Mus musculus: one gene and its partners. The protein of the gene in region 1 binds, or shares a complex with, the protein of each later gene. Links are inferred from orthologs where the notes say so. Each region holds a gene or a part of one and is shown in the gene's direction. Other genes may lie near its edges.

Region 1 (4,232 bases):
GCACCTTGGCAGTTGGAAAGTTCACAGTTGTTCTCTGATGTGTAGTTTTCCCAGGGTGCTATGAATTCTGGAGGGACGAGGACCCTATCTGGCTTTCACCAGAGAGGGTAGTTTTACTGACAAGATGAATAGGGAATGACTGTCACAAGAAAAACAACAATGGCCCTTATTTCTAGTATATGTTTAAGTTTTATGAAAAGATACTGGGGGGACAGGAGAAGCTATACTTTTCTTTGTCAAAGCCAAGAAACTAATTACGAAGTAGAATGCAGAAATTCATGTGAATTTTAAGGCTAAACAAGAATTCTAGGATGCCTCGGGCTACACCCGTAGATATTTCTGGAGATACTGTGCTTAATATGGAAATACTGTATAATGATAGATTTATCTCTCCCTAGGTCAGATAAGGAAGGCTTGTCTTCATTTCACTAGATGAGAATATGCATACTAAGACGGACTTGAAAATTATAAGGTTTCGGGGGAATATGACCCTTAATTTTTAAATTGAGAACTCTGTCCCAAAGAGGGGGGAGGATGTAGCTATGGAATCGCCTATTACAGATGGAGCTGGCGCCTGAACCCAGGCGCCTGAACCCAGCCCCGCCCTCGCCCCTCCACTCCCACCCCGCCGCCGCCCAGGGGCCAGTCCACCTTTTCATTAAGTCACAACACCTGCTACCTGGTCCCTAGTGCTCAGGGTCCCCACCCTCCAGAGAACCTAATCATATACCAGGCGAATTGCCTCTGCACGTCTGGAAGACTCTTTTAAGCTCCTAGCAACGGGCATCGAGAAACCAAGTGGACCATTTCCCGACCCCGCCTTCCAGACGCTTTCTGGGTGGGGCGGGTTGGGCAGCGCCCCCAGTGGGCGGCCAGACAGACGCCCAGCTTGTTCCTCTCAAGCTCACGCGGGCGCCCCCTCGCGGCCACTCGAGGAGCGCAGCGCCGCATTGCAAGCTCCAAGCTTTTTCTTGGCTTTCAGGCCCGGGAAGCGGGAAAACTGCGTGTCACTAAGCAAGAGGACACGGGCAGCCGTCCACGCGGCAGTGTGTCCTAAGCGTGACCAGAGCCCATTCGCAGAGACGGGGCCGGGGATGAGCGTTAGGGACCTGGGACAGAGGACCGTGGAGGTCCCCCTGTGTCCCCGCGGGAGGCAGCCACGTAGTCCATTCCAGGCTCTCGGCCACGAGAGGGAGGGACTCGCGCACAGCTACGGCGACGGCTGTGGACCCCTCGCACGCTCACGCGCGCCCGAGCTGGACTGTCGCGTCGGGCCCGCGCCGCGCGCGCGCACGCGGGTGGGCGTGGGAGGCAGGGGCGCTGCTGCACGCGGCGTGCGCGCGCTCCCCCCGCCGTCAGTCGCAGCCGCCCGGCCCCGGCGCGCGTCACGAGGGCGAGCGGGCGGCGAGCAGGGGGTGGGGCCGCGGCCGGAGGGGCCCGAGCGGCTGCCGAGCTAGAGCCGGAGGAGCGGGGCGCGGGCGGCTGCGGTCCCGGTGGCGGCGGGGGAAGATGGTGGCGCTGGAGGCGGGAGCAGCTGGAGAGCAGCTTTATTCCCAGGCTTGGCACGGTCGCTGTCACTAGCGCCGCCTGCTCCCGCGGGCCCGCGGACCCAGCTGTCAGGCAAGGTACCACCGCCAGGGCGGGCTGGGTGAGTGCCGGGCGCCCGACGCCCCGGACGGAGCTCGGGTCCTTTTGGAGGGATGATCCCGGGAGCTAGGGGTGAAGCGTGGAACAATAGTGCGGATGAACAGGGACGGCAGGCGACATCCAGGGAGGCAGTGCTTGGAGCTAGCGAGGCGGGGGAAGGGTGTGTACTAGAGAGATGCCAGGCGTCCGGTGCGCGCTGAGATACCCGGCTTTGGGAAGAGCGGGCCTGATGACAGTCACGGAAGGAGTGTGTGTGTGTGTGTGTGTGTGTGTGTGTGTGTGATAGCAGAGGGGATGGAGGTGGCAGATCCGAAGTGTAGGGGGAGATGACATTTCCAGGAATCCCCGCTAGGATCCCTCCTCTCTGGCTGACTGATGATGGAAACCGTGAGGTGGGCAGGATGCACTTGGTGTGTGAAGTGTGGAGGGGAGGCAGTAGGGTAAGGCCGGGTTTGTAAAATCCCGTGTAAGAGTGAGTGTTTAGCGTGCAATTGGATCCACGCTCTCAAAACTGCGCCCCACATCCAGCGATCTGCTTTTCCTGACTTGATGCCGCCAGCTAACACTGTGGGACAGTATTGGTTATTTTGACCCTGCAAGTCTAAGAACAGTTTCTGTTCTGCTACTGTTCTTGGGTGGCTGGGTGTACGGATTCTCGCTTCCCCTTTCCCTAACGTCCTAACACGGGGATGTGGAAGTGAGCGGTTGCTTTGAGGCACATGGCAGCAAACCAGGATAATGGTTACACCTTTTGAGACAGCTGGTGTCCCTGGCTCTGAAGGGCGCTTTCTTTGGCACTTCACAGCCTCTCATTGACTGCCTGACTCTGCAATTTCTATTGTTTATCTCTTGTCTAACCCCAAGAAGAGGGTGTTTAATGGTCATCTTCCTCTCCCGTTCCCACAACTTTTATCACCAGACTCCCTTCCATATATAAGTACTGAAAACCTTCTAGCTGAAGATTGGATAGTCTTTGCAATGATTCTTTTAGAATAAACTCTTGAGGTGTGTAAAGAAGGTGGGGGCTTTAAAAATACAAGAACAAGATTGAAAGGGAAGTAAAAAAAAAAAAAACAAGGAAAAAAAAAAGAGTGCCCCAACATGCATTCTCTTGGGTGTTTTTCCGTGGGAAATGGGATGCTAGTGACAGCCACTCTCCCGGCTTTCACAATGGTTAGAAGGTCCATTTAGGAACTGAAATTTCCCGAGACCCATGGATATAAGATCTCCAGTCAGTGAAGTCCCCGATTTCCTTCCCAGGACAGCTCACTCGTAGGAAATTTGGCAAATGTTTGGCTCTCCAATGATGTCTAGGAACCAAGACAGAGAAAAAGCACGCAGAGTCTATAGATGCTTAAATTTCTCTGCGTAATAAAGATAGGGTTGCGTAGAGAGGGAAAGCACTAGAGATGGCATATCCGTATGCGTGTCCACTGCCGCCTGGTTCCCTGGAGTCTGTATTTCTCCTGCAATATCCATAGGAGTGAATGCACCTTTATGATAATAGCCCAGTACTTTACTGATGTCATATGATTGGATTCACCTGCTTGGGACATATTTTAGTTATAATACCTTAAATTCTACTGAATTGCTGTCAGAACCCAAATGGGCTGCACTGGGCCTCTTTGAAAAGCTTGAAATAATCACAAGGATGTACAAATAAATGTATGATATACTGACACCAAAGATTTCTTTCTTTTTCTAAAAATTTTATTCTTTGGGCAAAGTATAAAGTGTTATTCCATGGGTACATTGAAAATAATAAAGCTAAGGCCATCTACATATGACTTTTCCTTCTCGTTTATTGTTTTTAAAACAAATGATGACATGTGGACCAACTATGCTGGAAGCTATGAGTGTAAAGTAAATTTCCCCGCATCCTTCAAGCCAAGCCTTCTGAAATTTTAATGTGAGGTTGTTGGATCTCATCCGAGACTTTAAAAAGGACTTATAAAAATGAATTTAGAATCCTAGTTCTTTAACTCTCTTAATGCTTTGGCCATATCTCATTCTGATGGATGTAAGTCACTTAAGAGGCTTAGGTTTCTTTACTTTAAAAAAAAGTTATCATCTCTGTATACGCAAGTAAAACCACATATGTAAATTTCTTATAAGAAAACTCAAGAATATTAGAAATTACCAACGTAAACAGCCTGATTAGAGAAAGAAGTGCATACAAACACAATTGATGACTTGAGAATTTCTGATTTCCTTTCTCATGTAAATGAGAGACTTTTTCAAATGCCATGCCCTGCTTTCCTAACGTTTGGCCCGGTGAGGTTAAAGGTACAGCTGAGATCTGTAATTCAGTTTGGTAAATGGCTGCACCTCTCCCTGCAGCCTGCAGCAAGCCATTTGTTTTGCATGAATGCCTCTTCGTCTTCTTCCCTAAAAGCAGCTTTAATGCCTTTCTCCTCTACCGCAAGCCTCCCTTTGAAAAGTTTGTCTTTTCAGAAGACTTGGAAGTAAAGGACATTTGAAAATTGACCTGCAGGGCCAAAAAGGGATAAACCATGGTGCCACGGGGGAAACTGAGCTTTTATGCTGCAAGGAAGACAAAATAGAACATCGAGTGGTAGAAACAG
Region 2 (4,055 bases), on another chromosome or scaffold:
ATGGTCTTCTGCGTAAGCCTGGAATTCTGGGATTTTTTGTGTGTTTATCATCAAAGACATGGAAAAAGACTACTCCAAAGGAGCAGAAGATAGAGATAAAGCTCAGATTTGTGTAGCTTGTACAAGTCTGCAGATTCGAGTCTCTGGAAAAGTAAGTAATGTGTAACCCCAGCTCATAAGAATAGCTCCTGTCAGCCAAGAAAACCTGTGTCATTTGTATGGAGCATGAGGAAGCTTGAAGGCTACTGCCCAGTGGTGGGATTCAACTACCTAATAACAACATGTAGAAAACTGCAGTTCAACGGAAAGAATGGGTCACCTGCAACCAGCTATTAAAACAATCCTGTCGTGCAGGTGTTACAAACTTAACACTGGACTATGATCTTTGCTACCCAAATCCAAGTTTCACAAAAATTATTTCATTGAAATTAGTGACTAAAAATATTTGGGTCCACCAAGTCTTCAAGAGTGGCCCTATGAGGATCTGGAGATGACAGACAGTGCTGTTAGGAGTACTGGCTCCTTTTCCAGGGGTCCTGGGGTTAGATTCCCAACACCCACAGGGCAGGTCTCAACCATCTGTAACTCCAGTTCCAGGGGAATAGATGCCCTCTTGTGGCCTCAGGTTTGTAAATGGTGCAGATATACATAAGGGCAAAACACCCATTAATATAAAAATTCTTACAAATTACAAAATGTACCCATAAAACAAAATCTATGCTTCATCCTTCATTCACAAGCAGATTTTGAATCGGCTAACTAAAAACAATACTTCGTGTATACCAAAGCGTTCTCTCCCGGTTGTTTTTTTTCCCACCTTTCTGCTCAAAGAGAGTTTTAGATAAAATTCGAATTGTAAATTTTTTAAATTAGATCAAGCTAGGATATTAAGAATTTATAAGAGGACTCGGACATGGGGAAACCAGCCTAGACGGTCAGAGGCTGCCGTCGGTCGGGTAAGGGCCGGAACTAAGGTCCTGACTTCCCCGAGGCAGGGGACACTCGGGACATCGGTTCTTTTCAACCTCAGGTTGTTGGAAGTGGACGAGCACAGACCCACGAAAGGAGGCCACCCGTCGGTCGCAAAGCGTCCCCGGCTACCGCTCTGCGTAGTTACCCGCATCCTTCTAGCTCTCGCGTTACTACCATCCTCGCCCTTCCGCTTTCTCGGCCTGGTCCACCGCGGCCCCTCTGTCGTCACTTCCTGTGGGTCTGCACCTCCGAAGAGAAGATGGCGGCGCTGGGCGAACCTGTCCGGCTGGAAAGGGGTGAGTGCGGCGGGGGTCGCGGCCGCGGTGGGTGGGGCGGGTCGAGACTACGAACCGCTCTGCCTGCGGGCCGGAGCGGAGGCAAGGTGACCCGGACGCTGAGCCCCGGAAGCCCTCGGCGGCCTCGGCGCCGGGCGCTGCTCGCGGGGGGCGCTGGCTGGCGTTTGAAAGCTCGCCAGAGCCGGCCGTTGAGGCTGGCGGCGGGCACAGCACGGCTCAGCGGCCTGCCCACGGCTGTAGGCACGGGCGCTCCCTGGGTCCGCACCGCAGCATCGGCTTTCAGCTTCATAGACCCTAAAAGCCGAGGCCACCACGCAGCCCGGCACTGTCTACGGTCAGTGTGCGCGAACAGATCAGTGTGGCCTCTTGGCCTGGTTCTGCCACTTGGCCGACACAGACACATTCCCGCAGAAACTCCCTCGCCCCCATTTAAAACTCAGACTCCTTCAGTACTGTGACCACAGCCTCCGGGCTTTGAGTTGCTCTTTCCTAACTTTCGCACCCCTCCAGCCACGGAGAGGATGCTTACAAAAACAAAAACAAAAAACAAACAAAAAAAAAACCCTCCAACTGACTTGATCTTGGGAAGGAGATTACATAACTAGGTGGAGTAGTGATTTGATTGTAAGTCACTTTTAAGTGCCATGCAATTCCATACTCATAAACCCTACACTTGGAAACCTGGTTGGTTGATTGCTTCTTAGAGCAAACAGCCAAGAAAAACCAACCCGATTGAAGAGAAGCCTGTGAAAAGACTCTCCCAGGGTCCAGTTGCAGCTTTCCAGTATTGTACTCTGTTCTGCCCCAACTTAAATTTCAGACAACTGGAACAAGCTTTGTACAATTCGGTAGTCATAGTAACCAGAAAGTACCAGTTAAGCATTTCGAGTGCTGTTGGCAAACATCGCCTGGGATGGAGTTTGACATTGCATATATTTAGTATTCACAATTATAATCTCAATATCGTCCAAGAAGGAAATCATTTTATAAAATTTGTGTATGTAATAGAACCTCTTTCCTCACACACTGTGCTGATTATGATTCGTTTTGCTTTTTATTGTAGTGACCATGGGAGCCTTTTGTTTCTTTTTAAATAAATGAACTTGTTTGTGACAGGGTAGCTTGGGAAAGAATAAGGTAGGCTTACAGCTGTGTCATTTTCCCCTCAAGTACTACGGTGTCAATGTGCTTTGAACACATTGTTACACAGGAACAAATCTGTTGGTGTTAACCAGAAGAGTTGCAAGTTTCAAACAAGATGGCGTTCTTTTGTATCTTTAAATGAAGCACAAAATGTGGACCTTTTCCCTCTGACATCTGCTTTTTGCTGTTAGGAAGTTTTTCAGTTAAACAGTAGAAAGCTCAAAATATTGGTAGGAATGAAGTCCTAGTTGGTTTTTGCCAGTTAGCAGGATAAGCAAGGCAGTTGGTGTCAAGTCCGATTCTGATCAAGAATTCTAACAGACCTAGCATATTCTCAAAAGTTCCACAGTACAATTCCACAGCAAAATACCAGTACATATGACCAAGTTCCTGTTTGCTTCAAAATCATCAAAGCACAATTCACTGGTGCACAAACTTAATGAGCATATATTTGGTATAGAGTGTTTAACTCATTTCTAAGTGTCTCCCTTCTCTCTACCCTCTCCTATCTCCTCTTTTCCTTCTTCCCACCATGTTGTATTGAGTTGAGAGCCTTGTACATATTAGGTGAGCACTCTGCCACTGAGCCGTTTTCCCAGCTGTATATGTAGGATTTTAATGTGGATAATGTATTGTGACTGTAAATCAACAACTGCTGAAACAACATTTACTAGCCATTCTGGTGGTGGGACATCAGAGCAAAGCTGGTCTGTTTGATTAACTGATTAATAGCAGTTTAAACTTTTATTATCTAAAACTGAATCAACTTTTTGCTTCTCTACTAAGTTTATTTGGACTTTTTCATAAACAAATGCAAAGTCCTAACTAATTCTGTGAAGTAAATGCCTGGTATTTTGTTGTTGTTGTTGTTGTTGTAGTTGTTGTTGTTGCGGGATTAAAGGTGTGCGCCACCACGCCCGGCTAAATGTCCGGTTTTTAACGTGGCATGAAATCAAAACTTTCCTCTAGTTAAGTCAAAGTATGCAAGGATCAGAATATATAGGATAGTATATAGACTTATATAGACTCTAAGGTATCCTAACCTTTGGAGCCAAATGAGCACAATTCAAACTTACTTAATTAAATTTAATTAGAATTTACTGCTACTTAATTAGCAATAAGAATATACTGAGGCTGGGGTTCAGAAAAACCTTAGGAAAAAACTCAGAACAGAGATTGTGATTAATAGTGTTATAACATGAAGTTGAGTTTTCTAAAGTTCTTTGTTCACATTTTTTACATTCCCAATGACAGTTATCTAATATGCTAAATGTGTCTGTGTGTGTGTGTGTGTTTGTAGCTCTTTCATATTTTTTTCTTTTTAAGTTGTATATGTTGGGAGACTTTGGAGAGGGGCGTGGCAGAAGAGGGTGTCAGGTCCGTGGAGGTTTAGGTAATTGTGAGATGACCAAGTGGGTGCTAGGATTCAGGAAGTGCTGAACTATGTCTTTGGCCCCTAATACTTTAATATTTCTCTGTATAGCCCTGGCTGTCCTGGAACTCACTCTGTAGACCAGGCTGGCCTCAAACTCTGAAATCCGCCTGCTTCTGCCTCTCAAGTGCTGGGATTAAAGGTGTGCGTCACCACTGGCCGGCTTAATATTTCTTAAAATTAATCCATACCAAGGAGACATACATCTGTGC
Region 3 (4,289 bases), on another chromosome or scaffold:
AATTGAGTAAAGCTGGTCCCTCATTTGACGGATGAAGAAACTGCGGATGCACAAGGGACTGCAAGTTTGTCAGATCCTGGGAGCTGTGAAAAGTTGAATTTCATGGTTAAAGTTCTTAAACTTAAAACTCTTAGAAGATGACTACATTGAAAGACTACGTTCAGCATGTATCCAATGATCTGTTGCATAGTTAGATGGTCAGTCATCTTTGACTTTTCAATTCCTGCTGAATTTCTGAGCTTTCTCACCTCTTAGTCTCATTAGAAGAACGTAGCATTTGGTCATACGCAAATACTCTGCAACCCAGTGGGTCTACCTCTGAGGGTCTCTGGGTCACAAGGATGATTTAGCTGTCACAGGGAGGGCAGCATCGCCATCTCAGCTCTGTGTCCACCAATCTCGGTAAAGCCCAGAGGATCTTTCTCCATGTTTCTTCATGGTTTGATAAGGAAATGAGGCTTGGTGAACATTTAGTGAAAGTTGGGATTAAGGCTCATAGTCAGTATTTGAAGGCTCCAGGAACTGAACTGTGATCTACTGACTCAGAAATAAGGCCTTTCACATTATCTACCTGTAATTCGGAGGATGCAGAGAAAGAAAACAAAAGTGAATCCCCAGGTTAAGATGTAGCAAATGGCACCAAACATCCGTGGCTCAACTCTTGTCATGCATGCTAATTAATAAATAGCACCTCTGAATACAAGTTTCTTCCAGATTAACAGGAGAGGGTCCCTGATAAATACTGTTCACTGACAGCAACTCGTTTTTTATTTCAGAACCTTTTAAGGAAGTTTGCTTGTAAAGGCAAGTCATTTTCCTAGGCAATGTACCCAGGTCCTAAACGAACACTGACTTAACAGAACCCTGCCTGGCCCTCAGTCGGTTACCTTGTGCTGTTGAGAGTGGACGTTCTAAACAAAAAGCTTCAACAGAAATTAACAGCAACTACAATGATATAGCAACATCTCCCACGGCTAGTGGCGTTTCCTCTGGAAAGGGATGTGGAAAGGGAGGTTGAAATTTTTTCTTAATCTGAAAAGAATTCTGTCCCCCCACCTCTCTACCCCTGTCTGTCTCTCTCCCGTTTCTGAGTCCTCTTCTTCTGGGTTCGAGTGCATTCTGACCATTATGCTTAGGTGGAAAGTTGAAAGACAGCAAACCTGCTACAGCCACCCAGAGCTACTGACGGGTGGGCGAGCAAAGTTCTAGGGCTGAGCGTTCCTTTCTCAGCTCCTTGGCCAGGCAGGCGCTCGCGGCTACCTGCCCTGCTTGGCGCCGCACTGAAGATTCGCCGCGGCGGAACAGTTGAGTCTCCATCTGGCTACCAACCCACCCGAGCTTTCTTCTCCTCCATCACCACCTTCCTGCCTCCCCCTCCTCCCCCTCCTTTCCGTCTTCCCTCTCCACCCCCGCCCCCAATCTCCTCCTCTTTTTCTCACTACAAGCGGTTGCTGATGCTGAAGCCGAGCGTCACTTCGGCTCCCACGGCAGACATGGCGACATTGACAGTGGTCCAGCCGCTTACTCTGGACAGAGGTAAGGGAGCGGCTGGTCCGTCAGGCCACACAGTCCGCACCGCTTCGCCCTCCGCCCTGCCCAGTCCCACAGGGAAGGCAGGATGCGCTCGGGCAGGGGCAGCTGGGGGAGGAGGATCAGCCCAGGAGGGTTTCGCGCCCGGAGCAGGACACTTTCTTCCCCTCTCTCCTCTCCTGGTCCCCGCTGCCCCTTCTTGCTGCGCTCTCCGGGGCGTAGGTGCTTGCCAGGGCTCGAATGTTTCAGCTGACAGTCTCGGTCCCTCGCCGGGTCGCCTCCGGGCCCCGGCTTTGTTGGAGAGGATGCGCCGGGACCGCTGAGCGCTGGTGACTGGAGGTTGAAGAGGGGCAGAGAAAGCTCTCCCAGCCAGAGCTTGCTAAGGGACCAGTGGGGAAGCTAGCTGCCAACTGCCGGCGCGGGGACCCGAAGGGAGGAAGTTTGTCCCCGCGCTGGAGATGAGGGGTCTGTGCAGCTGTTGTGACTGGGAGATCGCCCCAGGGCGGCAGGGCGCTTGGCTGGGAAGCTGGGTGCAAAGCCGCGGGACTGCCTGGCTAGGGCGCTGCCCTCGGGCGAAAGGGCAGAGCAGAGCTCGGGCAACCTTCGCTGGCTCAGGGACACCGCATCCGGAGCCGAGCCGGCTTGGCTCCAGCTTCCCGCTCGGAGCTGCGGCTCTGGTCTTGGTACTCCCTCAGCCTGCAGTTCCAGGGAGGTAGCAACTCCTGTCTCCTGCTCCAGCAAACCTTGTTCTTCACCAGTCAAGTGTACCTCAGTGCCTGGGCTGCAGAAGGCGCGGAGACAAAGCGCAGGCTGGGTAACTGTTTAACTTCTAGCCTGTGACCTGTGCGTCCTACTCTTTGGCTGAAACGGAAAGAGCTTTTGCTCAAACCTTTCCAAACCTTTCCAAACCTTTCTCTAGGATCGGGCCCTGCTGAGTGCACCCGAGTAGTACCTGGCGGTGGATGGGAGTTTCCTTTCTGCCTCACCAGGTCCAGTTAGTTATTAGGGCTCCAGAGTCCCCAGCTCTGCAGAGAGAGGGCACCTCTAGCTCTGGGTCCGCAGCGGCGGGGCTTAGGACCCGGTGCAGTCATTTGAAAATGCTGTGCTCAGAAGAAAATGATTTAGTCCTTGTCCCTCTAAAATTTCTCTTTCTGGAGGATTAAACTAGCGGCCCAGCAAAGCAAAAAGAGCATCGTACAGCGAGCACAGTGGCAAAGCTGGTAAACTGTATTTGAGGTTCTTAATGTGGAGAGATCTCTGGTGACTTTAACTCAATCTGTTGGTGCCAGAACGGATATTATGCGGTGCCCATAGCAACCTTACTTAGGGTAAGAGTTGAAAAATAATTGATTTTTATGTTGGGAAATGTTCGTTTACAGATTAATAAGAGTAAAGAGCTCAGAAGTCCGTCGTATAATCTATGATTTTAGTCCCAATATCATCTGTACTAAGCAGGATAAATCCATTGCTGGTAAGAGCCAAACAGATGGCAGGCTATTAAAAACGATGGGTTTCCCAAGTTATTTCTGTTTTAATGTGATGAGCTCTTCTATTGTCCCATTACTGAATTACAGTCATTAAACACCCCAAGTTTAACTATATTAAACAACCCAAGTTCTAACTATGTTAGATGCAAACACTCCAAGAAGACAACATACTCAAGCAAATTTACATCCCACCACTACTATTAGCAATGCAACTAGTCCACTTTGGGGAAGTTTATCTTAGCCCTTGGACACCCCAGTCAGCTATCTAGAGAAGACCAAGATTTAAAGTGTGTTCTTGTTTATATTCAGAGGGTACCTGTCCTTCTGTGATTAGATCTGTAGAGTAAGTAACAAAGGAAGCCCAGTCAGGTTATCTATGGGAACATCTGAATTATTGAACCACTGGCTTTAAGTGCTCTGTGTGTAAGAAGTCCGTGAAGTTATCTTCCCTCTAATTCACTATGATAGTACACCAAGTTAAGTAATTTTATTAGGTTGATGGAATATGTGATTCTAAGCTTTGTCCTGGTTTGGTTGGGCATTAGGACATGAAGGTCTGATAATTGTGAAGATGTGCAGTGTTAGCAGCCTGTAATTCGGTTAACCCAACTTAGGGCTCAGCGTTTGGCCACCTACTGGCGATTTTGGGTCACTCCAAGTTTCCAGAGTGCCATTTGATACGTTGGTGGCCCATGTTATACACTCTAAATTTGCTCACTCAAAAGCTTTTGGCTCCATCAAAGCCTTTATAATTTACAATCCTTCTTTCCTTTAGTCTCCCCCAATGTGTAAAGCTCCTTGAGGGACGAAGCCATTTCTTAACCCATCTTTGAATTTCTCATCATCCCTGACTTGTGATGGAGTATAAAGTCAATGTAGACTAGTGATAGTGAACTGAAGCTGGAGTAAATGGAGAACTGTTTGTTATACAGATTTCATACGGAACTGGGGTACAGTTATGAGGTTATGGCCCTGCAGAGCTAGCAAGGATGCTAGAAAGGAGCACGTAAGGCGGTGGCTATGAACCGTTCCCAGATTCACTTGGTGGATCTCTACCAGCCACACCTGTTTAGCAAGACTGGGTTTCTTTATGTAGTCCTTGCTGTCCTGGGACTTGCTTTGTAGACCAGGCTGGCCTTGAACTCAGAGATCTGCCTGCCTTTGCCTCCTGAGTGCTGGGATTAAAGGGAATGTGGCATCTCGGGCCTAAGGAGGATTGTAACTAGTGGGCAACAGGAAAGAAGGAAATGGGATTTGTGTCAGGAACTACCA
Region 4 (4,126 bases), on another chromosome or scaffold:
GCGTAGGATTCCAGCCGAGCACCAGGGTTATACAGTGCTGCAGGTGGAACCCAAGGCTTTCGATTTGCTAGGCAAGTGCTCTGCTGAGCCACATCACCAGCCTAACTACAGGCTCCCCACATCGAGAATATCTGCAAGCAGTCCACACAGTCACCATGAGAACCTGTCCACCTCAGTGCTCCCCACTCCACCTCTCACCCAAACAGGCAGCACTCCACGTTAGTGGACCAGTCTCCAGGGCCTTATCTGCCCTTCTGCCCCTTCTGAAATCCAGTCTCCCTGGAGATCTTCAGATAGGTATTTGACCATCTTGTACACTCTCAGGGGTTTATATGGAGACACAGATCCAAATGCAAATTATAACACAAGACCACTGTTTTGCCGTCACCACTGCCTAGCCTCTTGGCTACTCTCTGGGTGGCTGCTGGGGTGACCCAGGTCATACAACTTGTTGACTTTATCTTCCAAGCATCTCTAAACTATAAAGGTCTTATTCAAGTTTCTCTCTCCTCTCCTCCTCTCTCCCCTCCCCTCCCCTCCCCCCCCTCTCTTTCAGTGTGTGAGTCTAGGTTAGTCTAGACAGGGTCTCACTATGGAAATCACTGACCTTGGAAGTGCTGAGATTAAAGACGTGGACCACCGGGCTCTGTGTGTATGTTTTGTCAGTCTTACGTAGACTTGGCTAGCCACAAGACTTCAGTGTAACTGAGGGTGACCTTGGGCACTGTTCCGATCACCCTGCCTCCACTTCTGAATGCTGGGATTACAGGTATGATTTATGCTCTGCAGGGTGCAGGACCTAGAATCTCAGCCTGCAAGGTTAGCACTCTTCGACTGAGTTACCCCTTCAGCTTTTATTTTTCTGCTTTCTTGAAATAGGCTCTTGTTAGGTGTTTCTGTCTTCCAAGTCACAGCGATCCTCTTCTATAGGCCCCTGGAGTCCTGAGAACCCACGCCCCTCTGTAGAAATGAGGGGAAGTTACCAGAAAAGCACAGACATACTGTAAAGAGCAAGGCAGACACACCAACGGAGTAACAAGATCGCGGCTAGGATAGACCTATGATGGGCAGCAGATAGTGATGTAGGAGCGAGACACCCAGAGGGGGAAGGTCTCTAGAGTTCCGGAGTGGGCGGGACCCTGCGCAGCACCGCCTCCTGTCAGTGTGAGGGCAGGCCCTCTGAAACTGTTGGTTGCCGTGTGGGCAGGGCCTCATGCACCACCTCCTTGCCAGCACCTGGTGGGCGGGGCCTCGCATTGCACCTCCTCGCTGGCGCCTGGGCGGGTGGCTTGCATTAGAGGCGATATGGCTGCACTGGTGGAGCCGCTGGGGCTGGAGCGGGGTAAGCGCTCCGAGGGTCCAGTCCGGGCTCTGGGCTCCGTTGGGTTGCGACAGGCTTTGCAGATGCGGGGGTTGGGGGGCGGACCTAGTTAGGGTGGGCGGGGCGCGGCCTGCAGTCTGAGGGCGTGGGAGGGTCTGGGGCGGAGCGCCCCACCAACACCTCGCCCAGGGTTGGGGTCCCCGCGACCCGCGAGGCACGTGGATCGCTTCCAGTCTGACCTCGATTGCCCTTCTTGCTGCCGGCGTATGCTCTCGCGGTCCCTGCCGCTTTCTGCAGACGTGTCCCGGGCTGTGGAGCTGCTGGAGCGGCTGCAGCGCAGCGGAGAGCTGCCCCCGCAGAAGCTGCAGGCCCTGCAGCGGGTCCTGCAGAGTCGCTTCTGCTCCGCCATCCGCGAGGTGAGCATCTTGGTTCTGTATAAGTTGTAGTTTCCTTGCACTCTGCGGCGGGGTCGGCGACGGGCGAGCGGACGAGGACACCGGTGTCCAGGGCTGTGGACTGGCAGCTCTCTGACGTTGCCGTGTCCCCGACTTCCCAGGTGTATGAACAGCTCTATGACACGCTGGACATCACTGGCAGCGCCGAGGTGCGGGCTCATGCCACAGCTAAGGTAAGCTCCTGCTCCGGTAGCTCTGGGTGACCACGAAAGCAGTGCCCTCCTTCACATCAGCGCATCTCTGTGCCACCCTATGAAGATTTATTTATAATGCCCTTTAAATAACTGCACATTTTTAACTTGAATGCACATGAGATTCTCTCTAGCAACAGGCTTGGAAACTGGCCTCACTTTCCTGTCGGTAAGATGACCCTAAAAGGCAATCCTGTTGGATGTTGTGAACAGGGACACCTTTCCAAACTGCAGTGCTTATTACTTATTACTGCCTGCAGACTCAAGATTTACACCTGATCCCTATCACCCCACCCCACCCCCGAGGTGGGGGGGGCACTTGTTTCCATTTGTCTGAGAACAAGATTGGCAGGTGTTAAGTACTAAGGATGCCCTTCTCCCTGACTTTCGGAAGAAAGCAAGGGTTCTCACAGGTCGGAGTCAGTATAGGGTAGCCTCCTGTTGAGCTGTGTCAGGGTTCCCCTACTTGATCTTTGCGGCTACGCTGGCTGGAGTGCCCATGTCTCAAAGAGGGTCTCTCTCATTGAGGCGTCTTCTCTCTTCCAGGCCACAGTGGCTGCTTTCACGGCCAGTGAGGGCCACGCACATCCCAGGGTCGTGGAACTACCGAAGACTGATGAGGGTTTGGGCTTCAACATCATGGGTGGCAAGGAGCAGAACTCACCCATCTATATCTCTCGAGTCATCCCTGGGGGCGTGGCTGATCGCCATGGTGGCCTCAAGAGGGGAGACCAGCTGCTGTCTGTGAATGGTGTGGTGAGTGGGGTTGGTAGTGTCCGTAAGGCAGCCCTGGACGGTCACATTCCCTCTACACAGGGAACACAGCCTTTGGAGACAGCACTGTGGGGTACACTGCTGACCCTCAAGGACTTCAGAGAGCCTAGCTAGGATAGCAGCCCAGTGTAGAAGATGGCAGTTGTTTTCAGGAGGAATATTTGGCTTGGAGGTTGAAGGTTGGGTACTTCTCTGAACTAAGATGTGGAGGGGTGGTTCTGGCTCGGAACAGAGATGGTCCCTGAGATGAGGAGAAAGGCTGGCTCTGCCTGATGTCTGGGCCAGTCAGCATCCTGAAACCCCAGTGATTAGAATCCAAGGAAACACCACCGAGGAGGTCGTCTCTCCAGAAAAGCCCGGCTTCTGGCCCTGGGCAGTGAGGGCAGGAGATCAATAAGCTTAGGGGGTGTAGACAGACTTTTTTGGGACAGGTTCAGTGGCCTGGTTCATTGAGGACACTGGGACTCAAAGCTATCTTGACATGCAGTTTTTAGGTTGTGGGTGCTGTGCCTAAAGTTGGTGATCCACTAGAGGGATATGAGGCCTTGGAGACTTGACCCCAGCAGCCGTGTCACTATCCACTGGTCCCATGTCCTGGGTAGGGTGGTAAGGGCAGCGGTTTGGGCCAGCAGTCTGTGCGAGGCCTGCCCTGCAGAGTGTGGAAGGCGAACACCATGAAAAGGCGGTGGAACTCCTGAAGGCTGCACAGGGCTCAGTGAAACTGGTGGTGCGCTACACTCCTCGGGTGCTGGAGGAGATGGAAGCCCGCTTCGAGAAGATGCGATCTGCCCGTCGGCGCCAGCAGCACCACAGCTACACGTGAGCCTCCAGTCACCATCCTCTCCCTGCTGCCTTCCCCAACCTTAGATACCCAAATCAGGCCAGTGAGCACAGCGGCCTTCAACATTTATCTCTGGCTCTCCACCAGGGGTTTTCTGACCTTTGACTCCTGCCATGGTAGCTAAGGCCCTGGGACCCTCTGGCTCCCCAACTCCAGAAGCCCTGTGCCTGATTTTCTGAACTGTTGTCTCCAGAACCCCACCATTGAACATCTTACGCGCCCTCCCCCACCCCACCCCTGAACCTACCCTGTGTCTAAAACTCCCCTCTCTACACCCTCACAGGTCCTTGGAGTCTCGAGGCTGAAATCACAGACCAGGACCCTCCTTCTCCTCCCCTGTACAGTATTATTTATTGTCACTGGCTCCTTATTTAAAGATCTTTAACCCTCACCGAGTGTCTTGTGTGTCTGTCGCGCATCCTGGAATAGTCTCTGTGGGGGAGGAGGACAGTGAAGCTGAGGTTAAGAACAAGCTCATTCCAGTCTGTGTACCATGATAGACAACGCTCGCGCAGCTCTGAAGGCGGAGGCTGGCCGGTGTCCC

Evidence for each region.
Region 2: Apba1 (region 1) and Lin7c share a complex: the UniProt entries of both Homo sapiens proteins name them as parts of the brain-specific heterotrimeric complex. The link is inferred for Mus musculus from reciprocal best matches to the Homo sapiens genes APBA1 and LIN7C.
Region 3: Apba1 (region 1) and Lin7a share a complex: the UniProt entries of both Homo sapiens proteins name them as parts of the brain-specific heterotrimeric complex. The link is inferred for Mus musculus from reciprocal best matches to the Homo sapiens genes APBA1 and LIN7A.
Region 4: Apba1 (region 1) and Lin7b share a complex: the UniProt entries of both Homo sapiens proteins name them as parts of the brain-specific heterotrimeric complex. The link is inferred for Mus musculus from reciprocal best matches to the Homo sapiens genes APBA1 and LIN7B.

Annotation. Positions count from the first base shown.
Region 1 is NC_000085.6:23,757,444-23,761,675, forward strand, and holds the start of Apba1 (amyloid-beta A4 precursor protein-binding family A member 1), read left to right. Parts: upstream 1-1,432; 5' UTR 1,433-1,648; intron 1,649-4,232. UniProt on the Homo sapiens protein: Putative function in synaptic vesicle exocytosis by binding to Munc18-1, an essential component of the synaptic vesicle exocytotic machinery. May modulate processing of the amyloid-beta precursor protein (APP) and hence formation of APP-beta.
Region 2 is NC_000068.7:109,889,654-109,893,708, forward strand, and holds the start of Lin7c (protein lin-7 homolog C), read left to right. Parts: upstream 1-1,224; 5' UTR 1,225-1,231; coding exon 1,232-1,268; intron 1,269-4,055. UniProt on the Homo sapiens protein: Plays a role in establishing and maintaining the asymmetric distribution of channels and receptors at the plasma membrane of polarized cells.
Region 3 is NC_000076.6:107,270,407-107,274,695, forward strand, and holds the start of Lin7a (protein lin-7 homolog A), read left to right. Parts: upstream 1-1,424; 5' UTR 1,425-1,454; coding exon 1,455-1,536; intron 1,537-1,987; exon of another isoform or gene 1,988-2,858; intron 2,859-4,289. UniProt on the Homo sapiens protein: Plays a role in establishing and maintaining the asymmetric distribution of channels and receptors at the plasma membrane of polarized cells.
Region 4 is NC_000073.6:45,367,738-45,371,863, reverse strand, and holds Lin7b (protein lin-7 homolog B), read left to right. Parts: upstream 1-1,299; 5' UTR 1,300-1,305; coding exon 1,306-1,342; intron 1,343-1,618; coding exon 1,619-1,737; intron 1,738-1,877; coding exon 1,878-1,949; intron 1,950-2,513; coding exon 2,514-2,723; intron 2,724-3,396; coding exon 3,397-3,560; intron 3,561-3,865; coding exon 3,866-3,887; 3' UTR 3,888-3,973; downstream 3,974-4,126. UniProt on the Homo sapiens protein: Plays a role in establishing and maintaining the asymmetric distribution of channels and receptors at the plasma membrane of polarized cells.